Oryctolagus cuniculus: one gene and its partners. The protein of the gene in region 1 purifies or fractionates together with the protein of each later gene. This does not show direct contact. Links are inferred from orthologs where the notes say so. Each region holds a gene or a part of one and is shown on either strand. Other genes may lie near its edges.

Region 1 (4,076 bases):
ATGGCGTCCCTCATTCAGCTGGGGACACTGGGGTGGGGTGGGGGAGGCCCTTATACACAAGCTGCGCCCAGGGCCTGGGCCCGGTGCCCAACCTTGGGGCCACGGGGTGGGGTGGGGTCTTCCCGTCCAGACCTCTGCAAGGGGCTTGGGGGCCCCCGTGGGGGAAGACAAGACTTCCCTTTGGGGAGCACTCCATGGTGGGGGGGGAAGGGTGACCAGCTTGGTGGCTGGTGGGGGGTGAGGGGTGACAGATGGCGGGCTGTGCCAGGTGTGGCTGACGCGGTGGTGAGGCGACAGCCGGGCCCGCGGGGACTTGCCCTCTGCCAGCCCACAGCCCACGGAGGCTGCCTGAACCTGCTTCAAAGCAAAGCCCGGAGTGGCCTCGGCTCGCTGGACCCAAGTCCCGGTGGCCCCAGCGGCCCCGGCCTCTACTTCCAGCTGAACGTGCTGGCGGGGAAGACCCAGGCGCCTTCAGAGTCCTGGGTTCGAGGCCGGCGCGGGAATCCCGTGCGGAGACTTGCAGTAGGTAGGCTGGGTCGGCGTGGCAGCAGGGACAAGCTTGGGCCGTCTCTCCATCGAGGACCAGGGCCTTTCCCAGCCCTGGGTGACCGCCTTCCGCTGGGCTCCCCAGTGGGGCGGTACCCGGCAAGGCAGTCTGGCGCCAGCGCTGGATTCCGCTTCCCTCTTGCACCATGGAGGGGCTGAGACAGCAGCGGCGACGGGGACACGCTGCCCTTCCCACGCTGTGGGGGGGCACTCAGGACAGTGGCTCTGTTTCCACGGCCTCTTACAAGTCCACGGTCGCCGGGGGTCCTCAATGGCAGCCCAGCAGCCTTAGCTCACAGTGGGAGCAGACCTGGTGGGCACGGCACGCCTCGCTCACTGGCCCACCCGGCCTGAACCGCATCCTTCCTGCCCATGCCGCTGGCACAGCTCAGCCGACGCGCTGCCCTTACTGTGGGCGCCCGGGGGTGGGGTGGGGTAGGGGCAGAGACCCTACAGACGCTACTTCCTAACAGACACAGTCGTCCGAGACAGCAACTGGAGACACGCCACGGAAAGCGACCAGCACAAAGAACCCAGGGATTGCAGATGCCAGCATCTCCGACCAGGCCCCTTGCACCGCCCCCTCCCCGCTCAGCACATCAGATCAGATGCCGGTCCACGGGGCAGGGGGCTCGGGCCTTTTCTGACTTAGTGCAAGTGTTTGTGATCCACTGCCCCACCCCCGCCCCGCCCCTTGAAGATAGCAGGGAGGGGGGAGATGCAGGACAGCTTAGCTGCAGCCCTGCGGGGGTGACCACAGCTCACAGCCACCCCGTGGCTTCCAGGAAATCAACTTCCCCATTGCAGACGTGGTGGAGAACGGGCCCCAAGCGTAAGGAAAAGGAAAAGCTACGGAGGCAGAGGCAAGCGTGCACGCATGTGTGAGGCTGCCACACGAGCCGCTGTGAATCATTCCGTGTTCATGGAAAACAAAACAAACAACCAGAAACGTTAGCCCAAAACTGCTCGCTTGAAACCTGGGGTGTTTCGAAAAAGAAATTTTTTTGGGGGGGTTCAAAAAAAAACCAAGTCCTTTCAAGGTAAGATCACAGGAAGCAGCTTCGCGTGCCAGGAAGCTAACAGTCATTTCTCCAAGCTGATTCCACTCGCCCGGCTCCCGCCGACCCAGACACGCGACCCTGGCCACGCCTGACAGCTCTGCTCTTCTCGTTGGTGTTTAAGTTTCCCACCAGGAAAGAAACCCAGTGCCCATCCAAGAGGTTCACTGGCTAAAGCGGGTTTTGTTCCTGGCTCTTACGACACAGCCGTGCACCCAACTAAGTGCAGTGGCGACAAGGTCACAGGTCCCCCAAGCCCAGGGCTGGATCAGGGTGTGTGCGCTGACACGCAGTGTCACCACGGATATCCTAGGAGTTGGAGGCTCTGCAAAGAAGACAGCTCACGTCTAAACGTGCATTGGGGGCCAGCGGGTAAAGCCGCCCACTGCCAGTGCCCACATCCCAGATCCAGCTCCCTGCTGTGGCCTGGGAAAGCAGTGGGAAATGGCCCAAGTGCTTGGGCCCCTGCACCACGTGGGAGACCCGGATGAAGCTTCTGGCTTCAGCCTGGCCCAGCCCCGGTCATTGCGGCCATTTGGGGTGTGACCCAGTGGAAGATTTCTCTGTCTCCCTTCCCACCCCCTCTGCCTTTCAAATAAATTTTAAAAAATCTTTAAAAAAGAAAGAAATGATGGAGTCAGGATTAAGGGGCCACCTGGTACCCCTGCGCACCATATGGGAGTGTCAGCTTCAAGCCCTGGCTACTCAGTGAATCCCATCCAGCTCCTGGCCGATGCACAGCCCGGGAGGCAGCAGGTGACAGCCCAAGTGGCTGGGGCCCAGCCAGCCACGTGGGGGGACCCGGCTGGAGCTCCTGGCTTCATCCTGGCCCAGCCCTGGTTGTTGTGGGCATTGGGGGACTAACCCAGCGGTGCAAGCTCTCTCTCCATCACTCCTTCAAATACATTTGAAAACAGGGTGGGGGGACACGCACACCTGGCACAGCGAGCCCGGGAGGCCAGCAGCGGCGGCTCTCAGAGCAGGAGAACCGGGCGTGCGGAAGAGGGTGGCCTTGTCCAGCTGCAAGTCCCCGTCCCGCCCCCCACGCGGACGACAAAGCCAGACTTGGGCGCAACTTCTGCAAAGGCGCTCCTCTCGCTACGCGGCTCTTCCCGGCTTGTTGTTGCTTGTTTGCTTTCGGCAGAAGAGGAAGGCGTTCCGAGCACTTGTTCTAGATTAGATATCTTTCGCCACTGTTGCTGGTCATTGCAATCAAGGAGGGTTTCGTCGCTGTGCACAAATCCAGCGGTCCTTCCCCGGGCCGGTGGGGGCGGGGCGCAGGGCAGCCAGCGGTGCGGCCGACTTGGTTGCATCCTTCGGCAGTGCTGGACATCCTGGCCTCCGGGCGGGATCGGAGCACGCACCGGCCCCTCGCACGCGTGCAGCCGCGAGAAAACACTGCCCTTTGCCATACGCCCACACTGCGGCTTTTTTCTTTTCTTTTTTTTTTTTATTGCAAAACCTTTCCTTACACAAGTGGCAGGTACAGAATAAATAACACGAGTGACAGCTCGCATGAGGAACGGAGAAGACGCGAATGAGCCGGGGGAGGAGTGCGGCTAGGGGTGAAGGGGGGTTGCCGTCGGAGAGGGACCAAAAAAAAAAAAAAAAACAAAAAACAAACAAACACGACCCCCAAGAAGCTGCAAGCGGAGGGCAGGAGGGGTGGCACGGAGGTGGGGGCTCAACTTACAGAACTGAAGTCTGCAAAGCCCGAGGAGGAGGCCTTGGGAGCCTTAGCTGCAGAGGAGGGGACAAACGGGTCTTTTCCACTAAACGGGTCCCCAAAGCCCTGCTTATTTTGGAACGGGTCGCCGCCGTCAGCCCCGAGTGGCTGGAACGGATCGGGGGCCTCGGGGAAGTCTGCAGAGCCGAGCTGGCTTACAGGTGTGCTTTTACCTGGAAAGTTCAGGAGAGAGGGAGAGAGAGAGAGACAAGAAGAGAAGAGAGAAAAAGGAGAAACAAAACAAAACAAAACAAAAAAGAAACACAAGTTACTCACAGCAGGCAGGCAGGAGCTGAGGGGCCTCTGCCTCTCCGGGGAGAGCGTGGGGTGTTGGGGGAGGATGGCGTGTGTTCCCGGGGGGCTTCCCAGGTTAAGAGCCACACGAGAAGACACACACACACAGTCACAAGCAAGCCGGTTAGTGGTACAGGCCCGGGACAGGAGGCGCGGCTCCGATATCACACAGCACAGTGCAGCACTGAGGGGGACACTCGCGGGGTACTTCCGAGCAGTCCCCAGCCCAGAGAAACACCAGGTGCGCAGGCTGAGGGACAGGCCAGCGACCCTGACCCGATCGTCACACAGGACTCAAAGGGCAGGGTTTGAGTGGGCGTTGGCCAAGCAGGCGACACCAGGCTGCCTGGATCCCAGTAAGGCACAGCTGGCCAGGGAGGCGGGAGAGAGGGGCTTCTGGCTGTGTGAGACAGAGTGCTGGAACATTCCACAAGGAACCAGAGATCTCCCGA
Region 2 (4,645 bases), on another chromosome or scaffold:
CCGGCAGTGTGGCGTAGCGGATAAAGCCGCCGCCTGCAGTGCCGGCATCCCATAAGGGCGCTGGTTCGAGTCCCGGCTGCTCCTCTTCCGATCTAGCTCTCTGCTATGTTCTGGGAAAGCAGTAGAAGATGGCCCAGGTCCTTGGGCCCGTGCATCTACGTGGGAGACCTGGAGGAGGCTCCTGGATCCTGGCTTCGGATCGGCGCAGCTCCAGCCGTAGCGGCCAATTGGGGAGTGAACCAGCAGATGGAAGACCTCTCCCCCCCTCCCGCCTCTGTAACTCTTTCAAATAAATAAAATAAATCCTTAAAAAAAATTATTTGAACGATTCAGTCCCCAAATCCCCACAACAGCCAGGACTGGGTCTGGCCAAAACCTGGAGCTACAGGGGAGTGGCAGGAACTGAACTATTTGAGTCGTCACCTACTGCTTCCCAGCAGGAAAGTGGATTGGCGGCAGAACCAGGATTGGGACCCAAGAACTCCAATGTGGGATGTGGGCATCCTAAGCAGCAGCTTACCTGTACACTCACCCCATGGTTTTACAAAACTCAGATTCAAATATAACACACACCAAGAAGTGCCCACATTGCAAGGGCACAGCCTCATGGGAATTCACGGAGAACAGCACCGAGATAAAGATAAAGAAACACAGCGACACCAACCTGTCAGGGCCACCGGTCCCTCTCCCACTCGCTCATCCGGCCCCACCCACCTGCAGGTTCGTTTTGCCTGTTTTTGCACTTTACATAATGGAATCGTGGAGTTCGTGCTCCAGCTCATGGCTGTTTCGTCCCTCGCTGTGTGTCCACCTGCGTCGCTGTGTGTAGGGCGGACAGTTTGTCCCTGTTGCTCACTGGATCGCTGGTCACACGACTCACTCCTCTCTACACACTTGCACCTTGCCCCAGGACGTATTCACTGATCCAACCTCACACAGTCTGACTCTCAAATTCAGGCTCACCTTTTTTAATTTTTTTTTTAATACTGAACTCATGCGCTCCATGTGGGATGCGAGTATCTTTTTTTTTTTTATCTTTTTTTTTTTTTTAATTTTTGACAGGCAGAGTGGACAGTGAGAGAGAGAGACAGAGAGAGAAAGGTCTTCCTTTTGCCGTTGGTTCACCCTCCAATGGCCGCCGCTGCCGCCGGCGCACCGTGCTGATCCGAAGGCAGGAGCCAGGATCCAGGTGCTTTTCCTGGTCTCCCATGGGGTGCAGGGCCCAAGCACCTGGGCCATCCTCCACTGCACTCTCTGGCCATAGCAGAGAGCTGGCCTGGAAGAGGGGCAACCGGGACAGAATCCGGCGCCCCAACCGGGACTAGAACCCGGTGTGCCGGCCCCGCAAGGTGGAGGATTAGCCTATTGAGCCACGGCGCCGGCTCGCGAGTATCTTTTTTGAACGTGTTTTAAGCCAAGCCCATTTCTAGCAACCCAGTATAGTTTCTTATTTAAAAACTACTATTCCCAGGATGCAGTTCTCCCCGCGGGGTCGGGATTGAGTAGGAGAGGCTGCCAGAACTACATTTCCCAGAATGCAACGGCCGCCGGCTCTCATGCATGTCGGGAATTGTAGTCCTCTAGCGAGACTTTCCTCCCACAATTCCCAACGTGCACTTGGGCCCTGAATCGTTTGTAGGAAAAGGACAATCGCGCAGCCTGCCGGGAAGCCGACCGGACACTTTCCCCCAGCTTGCCGCGCGGGAGAGCCGTCCCATTCGTGGGACTTCAAGTCCCAGAGGGCTGTGCGTGGGAGGGCAGTGCGCGGGAGGGCAGGCGGGTCCTCCTGCCGGAAGTCCGCTCTGGCGCTAGGCCCCCCGACTGCAGCCGGAGCCGGAGCCGGAGCCGCCCAGTCGCCGCGGGACCTGGGCCGCTGGGGTCCAGTCAGGGGTCGCCATGGTAACGGGGGCGCGCCCGCGGTGGGGACGGGCGGAGCGGGGTGCAGGTGTCAACAGCCGGGGCTCGTCCTGGTGCTGACAGTCCCTCTCGTGCCGCGGACGGTCTGGGTCGGGCGCGGGCTCTCGGGATTGGGGCCAAGAAGGCGGCCAAGGGGGCCTTGAATCTGCGCTCGTGGATGCTCCGAGGTCTCGAGCCGAGGGGACAGGGGGCCGGGATGCCAGCGGGGGCGGGGGGAGCTGTGCGGTGGGAGGCATTGGAGGGGGTTGGGGGCTTCCGAAACGGAAGCAACTCGTGAAGGTAGTAGGTGGGGAGGGGGCGAAGGAGGAGGACGGGAGGCCTGGGGCCGCGGGCCGGAGGGCCCTCCGATGGGGCGGTCGCCAGGGGCGAGGAGCTAGCCTGGCAGTGTGTGGCGGGGGGGTATCGGCAGCGGGACGAGATCCTGCGGGTGAGGGAGAGCAGGCTGAGCGCTGCAGACCGGAAGTCTGGAGGTTTTAGGGTCGGGGCGGAGGGCTCGGAGTGGGGGCCGATACTCCAAATGAATGGGGAGCGAGAGGGAGAGAGAGCGCGCGCGCGCGCGAGCGCTTGGGGGCTGGGAGGGAGGCTTGGAAGTGTGAGATTTGGGGAGGGGGCTCTTGGGGGCAAGGACTGAGCTTTGGATTTGGGGGCGCCCTTCTCCCAGGGTGGGGCTTTGGAACCAAGCAGGGCTGCTTTGGTCGGAGACTCAGCAAAGGGCACGAATGGGGGAGGGCGTAAGAACAGAGATAGTGACCCTTGGAACAAAGGGCGGCGCTCCTGGAGTTGCTGTGATGCCCCCGGACCCCCAGGCCAGAGAGAGCGGAGATCAAAGGGGAGCAGCTGGGGGGGGGGGTCTGGGGGCCTGGGGATTTGGAAGGTGGTGGCCGAGCTGTCCGGCAACCCTGCAGGCCGGTCTGGCTCCCCGCTGGCTGCCTGGCTTGGGTCTTTCCCACCCCCTTCCCTTCCTGCCCAGGACCCCCTGCCCTGCTGGGAAGTGGTTTTCCCTGGCTCAGCAGATGGAGTTCTTGGAAGGCCAGTGTCACTTCCTCTTCCTGTCGGGCTTGGGGGAGGGGGCAAGGAGGTTTGGGAAAGAAAGTGGACTCCCTGTGGAGTTTGGGCGGGGGCTTTGGACTCCTGAGCCTTGGAGTCCTTAGGCTTCCCTGTTCTCCCAGCCAGCGCGGACCCAGAGCCAGGCTTCCCAGCGGGGGGAGCTAAGGCCATGGCTTTCCCAACGTCGCATCGTAATTATAAAGCTATGGAGAGCTGGCACACACCTGGTGCTGTGCCTGGGGGAGGCAGCCGTCTGGCCTGGCAGCTAAGGTGCTCACGACCTGGGTTCAACGCCTGGCTCCGCTCCCGGCCCCAGCTGCCTGCTGGTGCGCACCTGGGAGGCAGCAGTGACTGGGCCCCTGGATGGAGGCCCCAGCTCCCGGCTTTGGGCTGGCCTGGTCTCAGACGTGGTGGGCGTCTGCAGTTTGCCAGCGGATGGGCGATGGGGGCTCCCTCGCTCACGCTCTTCCCTTCTTCTTAACTTAAAAAAAGGAAAAAAAGAAAAGGCTTATGGGAAAATGGACTTAAAAGAGAAGTTAATGTTGTTGTTGCCAAAAAAAAATGATTGGAAATCCTATAGTTTTTTCCAACATACACATTCTTGGTGAACTTTCTGAAGACCCCTTATATGCACGGATTTCAATTTTTTTGTGCCAAAATAAACGTATCTTTTTTTTTTTTTTTTTTTTTTTTTGACAGGCAGAGTGGACAGTGAGAGAGACACAGAGAGAAAGGTCTTCCTTTGCCGTTGGTTCACCCTCCAATGGCCGCCGCGGCCGGCGCGCTGCGGCCGGCGCACCGCGCTGATCCGATGGCAGGAGCCAGGAGCCAGGTGCTTCTCCTGGTCTCCCATGGGGTGCAGGGCCCAAGCACCTGGGCCATCCTCCACTGCACTCCCTGGCCACAGCAGAGCTGGCCTGGAAGAGGGGCAACCGGGACAGAATCCTGCGCCCCAACCGGGACTAGAACCCGGTGTGCCGGCGCCGCTAGGCGGAGGATTAGCCTAGTGAGCCGCGGCGCCGGCAATAAACGTATCTTAAAAAAAAAATTCAGAGTCAGAGCAAGAGAGCAGATGGACAGACAGACACAGGGCTGCCATGCACCAGTCACTCCCCAAATGGCTGCAACAGCCAGGGCTGGGCTGGGCCAAGGCCTCCCACGTTGGTGGCAGGGGCCATTACTGGCTGCCTCCCAGGAAGCAGTGAGAACCCGCCCCCAGGCATTGCAGGATAGGATACGGGGTCCCAAGGCCACACACCCCAGAGCTTAGCTTTTGATTCGATTCCACATGGAGCTTTTGAAGTACCCCCGTGTCACACCCCTGCCTTCTCTCTGACCTGGCATGTGAGCCCATGGGGGCCGCCCTCTCATTACCTGCGTGAGATTGGGAAGCCAAGGCCCACATAGCCGGTCACTGGCCGTGCCAGGATTCTGGCCCCAGAGTTTGTGCCGTTCGCCAGCTGGTGGCAGGCCTCGTGGGTGGCGAGGGCACTCTGGGGTCGACCTGGCTGCCCAGAGCCCTAGGAATGGACTTCCCAGCTGCGACTGCTGCCAGCCCCGGTACATGCCGGGCTCCGTGCTGGCCGCTGACGTAGACAAGGGGATTTCACAAAGGGCGTGGGAAGTGGATCTAAAAGATAAGTTTTTGTTGATACAAAACACATTTTTTTTTTAATTTTTT
Region 3 (4,682 bases), on another chromosome or scaffold:
CCATGACACTGTGAATATTACCACATGTACTACAGCCCCACCATAAACCCTATCTCCTTTGGATCTGCAATCAGGAATCTACACCAGGCCACTCCTCGTATCCTATACAAAAGACAACTCCCAGCATGGAGAGCAGAATTCTTCCTCTTGAGGTAGCCTACAGTCACACCTGAGTGTGTACCATCCCTTTGCTTTTTTTTTTTTTTTTTTTTTTTTGACAGGCAGGTTACACAGTGAGAGAGACAGAGAGAGAAAGGTCTTCCTTTTCTGTTGGTTCACCCCCCAATGGCCGCTGTGGCTGGCGTGCTGCGCCAATCCGAAGCCAGGAGCCAGGTGCCTCTCCTGGTCTCCTATGGGGTGCAGGGCCCAAGGACCTGGGCCATCCTCCACTGCACTCCCAGGCCACAGCAGAGAGCTGGCCTGGAAGAGGGGCAACCGGGACAGAATCCGGCGCCCCGACCGGGACTAGAACCTGCTGTGCCGGCGCCGCAAGGCGGAGGATTAGCCTAGTGAGCTGCGGTGCTGGCTCACAGTTGTATTCTTACACACGGGAAGACAAGAAGCTGGACTAAGTCTAGCGAGGGGATCTCTTTGAGCCCAGTGGGGACTCTAGATCCCCAAACATAATTTGGGGTTCCTAAACCCACAACAGTTTTACAGATGGGGACAGACTGGCTGGCTCAGCAAGTAAGAGAACTCTTAGGCTGATACCAAGAAGTCAGGGCTGTGTGTCAGTGAAGCTCAGGACATGTCTGTCAGGTCTTCGTCAGGGCCTGATTGAAGAGTCAGGAACCAGGGTGAGAGCGGGAAAAGCCTGTTTATAATAACTGACGTTTGCTAAATTCCTCACCTGAGCTGGCTGGCTGGTTCAGGAAGGGCTGGACTTTGCAGCATCCCTCTCAAGTCAACACTGCCCTTTTCATCTGCCCCGACAGATGAAGGCAAGAAAGCCATAGGACCAGTCGATCTGCCCAGATTTCCCCCGTGCCAACAGTCATCGGGGATTTGAGTTTTCTACCTAGATCAGCATCCAACCTGCTTCTTAAAGCTAACAGAACACCTTGGCTCTTAGATGCCGATTTTGTTTTGTTCATTAGGAACCACTGATCCCTACCTTACCCCAACCACACAGAGGCCTTTCCTTTCCTACTCCCCTGAAGGAGTGCTGAGTCAAGAGCAAGCCCTTGTCCATAGTGGTGACTTGAGTTGAAATCTGTACTCTCCTAAACAGACCAGGAGCTGGAGGGGAAGACACAGAAGAAATTCAAGTTTGAGCTTCACCAGTTGGTTGGCTCTGGGATGGGCCTGAATGCTTAGCTCTGAGGGCAGGGGCCATGCAGGGGAGGTGGTCTTCTTACTGTTGGGTCAAAGTGGACGGTAGGTTGCTGTGTGTGTGAACAGGGGTGGCAGGTGCTCCTTAGTAGCCATATCTATGTGTTAGGGATAAGGGTGAGGAATGGTGAACGAATGACCCTTGGGTATGGTTAAGGCCGGGACAGCGCCTGAGAAAGGTCCATGAGGCCTGTAGCAGATCCATGAGCAAGGGTAGAAACACCCTCCTTCCCACCCGCGCTCTCCAAACCCCAGGAAATTCTTGCTCCCCCACCCCATCAGCGAGGAGAAGATTCTAGAGCCAGCCTCGTGTGGGGCGCAAAAGAGAAGTGCTAGATGCGGGCGCCGCTTGGTGCTTTCCAAAAGCACCACCCCACTTCGGCATGTCACCTCTGGGAGGAGTCAGGTGGGTCGTCGCAGCTCCAAGACTGCCTGCCGGGTCCGGAGCGTCGGCCTCCCCGAGGGCCGAGAGGAGCGCTTCGGAGTAAGCCCATGGGGTCCGGGGTCCCGGGGATCCCGGGGTGAGCGGCCGCGCCCGGGCAGCTTCGGGCTCCCGAGGGTGGGAGTAGGTGCCCGGCGGGCGGGCCGTCAGCTGCCCGGCCCGTCGCCTGCCTCCCCGCCCCCCGGCTTCCTGCGGAGGCCGCGGCCGCCATGTTGTTGTGGGGCTGAGGCGGCGCCGGCAGAGGCGAGAGCCCTTGACAGGCTGCGCAACAGGTTCGCCGGCGGCCGCCTGACGACCGACGCGGCGGCGGCGGCGGCGGCGGCCGAGCAGGGTCTCCCGCACCCGTCCGCGCGCGCGCGCTGCGGGTGCCGAGGAGCGCGGGGTCGCGCCGTGACGTGCGGGAGGCGCGGCGCCAGGTGGGTGAGAGCCGCTCGGCTCGCCGGGGCTGCCGCAGGGCGCGGGGCAGGTGCGGGTGCTGCTGCCGCGCCGCGCCCGCCGCCCAGAGGCTCTGAGGGCCGGGCTGAGGCAGCTGTGCGCCCCGGACGACGGGGACGGGTCCTCGGGAGCCCCTGCGGCCCCCGGGCTAGGCCCCTGGCGGGCTTGGCCGCGCCGGGCGGAAACCTCCGGCCCCGGGTTCCTGCCCCCGCGGCGGGGCCGGGGCGGACGCGGCGGGGCCGGGGACCTGGCCGGCTCTTCCCTGCTGCGGAGCGTGGGCCCCTGACCGCGGCCTCGTCTGGCAGGTGGCGGGGGCGGCGTGGCCCCCTGGCTTCGGGAGTGCGGGCCGAAGAGAGCCCTGGGCGCACCGCACGCTTCTTCGGGGCCCCATTTTATTTGGGCGGAGTTGGTTTTTTCCCTCTTGGTCATGGCTGGTGCGGAATGTCAGGTGAGCCGCATCCCGGTGCGTCAAAGTGGCCCCAGTCGCGAGAGGACTGTGGGCGGATCTGGGCGTCCACGGCTCGCGTTAAGCCAAAGTTGGGAAATGCTGAAATGCGACTTAGGCGTTGTTGAATTCCAGGTATACAGCAGGCACGGCGAGGTAGCGTCTCTGAGACCAGAGTAAAGTTTATTGCTTATTAAAAAAAAAAAAAAAAAGGGCTACATGTGCAGATTGGGTAAACTGAGGCTAAAACTGCAGCTCTATTTGGATTTTTTAGTCATGCACTTTGTCGCTGAATGATTGCCGATGGCAAGTATGCTCCATTTGAAACTTGTGTTAGTAGAGAATTAGGAATGTTTTTTGATAGAACCAGCCACTTTGCCGTAGGCATGAAGGCATTCCTACAGAAATGACTGCCTAGTTTATCTCGTCAGTGTTGTTGCTTACCTAGAGGCAGGCAAGATGTGACTTGAGATTTTGTGTTGTTGGTCAGCTTAATTTAGGCAGCACTGACTGTAGGTTAAGCTTCCTAAGCCTTTCAAGAAAATTAAATGCCTCCCTCCCTGTGCGGATTTGCAATATTGTTAATCAGTGATAAAGCTAAAAGCAACCCAGAAATGTCACATAGAAATCTTTTCGTGAATTAATGATAGTGCCCCTCAAAACTTACAAATAGTAGCAACTCTGACGTGCCCACATTTAAGTTTATTGGTTGTGGCTGTTATTCCCTTATAATTTCAAAAGTAAATAAATTGGAAATATGTTTGTGAAGGATCTTGGAAAATGTGTATTGTTGTGGTTTTGATACAACATTAATATGTAATCAAAAAGCTTTTTTAACCCTTTAATGGATTAATAATTGTTCTTTTTGCTTGCCTTTATAATAAGAAGTAGACTGGTCTGAGAAAACTTGACCTGTATTGAATTATTGAACGGGGAGGAACTGTTGTTAGTTTCACACATCTCAATGGGAAAATTCTGGTCTTTCCTGAAAATGAGGTAATGTGTTCACATTCTGGGAGTTAGATTTATAGTTTTTTTTTTTTAACTATATTTGCACAAAAACAGAATGGTATACACCCACCACCCAAACTCAGCAGCTTTCAAGATTTTCATTAGCCATCTTTTTTTTTCTGATTTTATTTTTTTAAAGATTTATTTATTTATTTGAAAGGCAGAGTTACAGAGAGGCAGAGACAGAGATAGAAATAGAGAGAGGTCTTCGATCTGCTGGTTCACTCCCCAGTTGGCTGCAACAGCTGGAGCTGCGCTGATCCGAAGCCAGGAGCCAGAGCATCTTCTGGGTTTCCCATGTGGGTGCAGGGGCCCAAGAACTTGGACCATCCTCTACTGCTTTCCCAGGCCATAGCAGAGAGCTGGATCGGAAGTGGAGCAGCTGGGACTGGAACTGGCACTCACATGGGATGCCAGCACTGCAGGCCACGGCTTTACCTGCTTTGCCATGTGCCGGCCCCATCTTTCCTGATTTTATATCTTAGTCATTTTATCCTATACAGTTAGTATAGCTTTTTTTTTTTAAAGGTTTATTTATTTATTTGGAAAGTAGAGTTATAGAGAGAGAGGGAGACACAGAGTGAGAGATCTTCCATCCTCTGGTTCATTCCTCAGATGACTGCAACAGTCAAGGTTGGGCCAGGCCAAAGCCAGGAGTTTCATCCAGATCTCCTATGTGGGTGGCAGGGGCCCAGATACTGGGTCATATTCTGCTGCTTTTCCTAGGCCATTAGCAGGGCACTGGATGGGAAGTAGGGCAGCTGGGACATGAACCAGTGCCCATATGGGATGCTGGTGTCCCCGGTGGCAACTTAACCCGCTATGCCACAATGCCAGCCCCAGTATCTTTCTTTTTTTTTTTTTTTTTTTTGACAGGCAGAGTGGACAGTGAGAGAGAGAGAGAGAGAGACAGAGAGAAAGGTCTTCCTCTACTGTTGGTTCACCCTCCAATGGCCGCCGTGGCCGGCGCGCTGTGGCCGGCGCACCGCGCTGATCCAATGGCAGGAGCCAGGTACT

Evidence for each region. The genes of interacting proteins can lie anywhere in the genome.
Region 2: the proteins of EPS15L1 (region 1) and AP2S1 purify together in Homo sapiens (affinity purification with mass spectrometry; 4 studies listed by BioGRID and IntAct, counting the BioPlex papers as one, with this or other methods). This does not show direct contact. The link is inferred for Oryctolagus cuniculus from reciprocal best matches to the Homo sapiens genes EPS15L1 and AP2S1.
Region 3: the proteins of EPS15L1 (region 1) and ITSN2 purify together in Homo sapiens (affinity purification with mass spectrometry; 5 studies listed by BioGRID and IntAct, with this or other methods). This does not show direct contact. The link is inferred for Oryctolagus cuniculus from reciprocal best matches to the Homo sapiens genes EPS15L1 and ITSN2.

The regions. Positions count from the first base shown.
Region 1 is NC_091447.1:64,794,168-64,798,243, forward strand, and holds part of EPS15L1 (epidermal growth factor receptor substrate 15-like 1), read right to left. Parts: intron 3,504-4,076; coding exon 3,298-3,503; exon of another isoform or gene 3,027-3,297; intron 1-3,026.
Region 2 is NC_091449.1:10,581,044-10,585,688, forward strand, and holds the start of AP2S1 (AP-2 complex subunit sigma), read left to right. Parts: upstream 1-1,585; 5' UTR 1,586-1,896; coding exon 1,897-1,899; intron 1,900-2,032; exon of another isoform or gene 2,033-2,084; intron 2,085-4,645. UniProt on the Homo sapiens protein: Component of the adaptor protein complex 2 (AP-2). Adaptor protein complexes function in protein transport via transport vesicles in different membrane traffic pathways.
Region 3 is NC_091433.1:178,232,655-178,237,336, forward strand, and holds the start of ITSN2 (intersectin-2), read left to right. Parts: upstream 1-1,622; 5' UTR 1,623-1,738; exon of another isoform or gene 1,739-2,810; intron 2,811-4,682.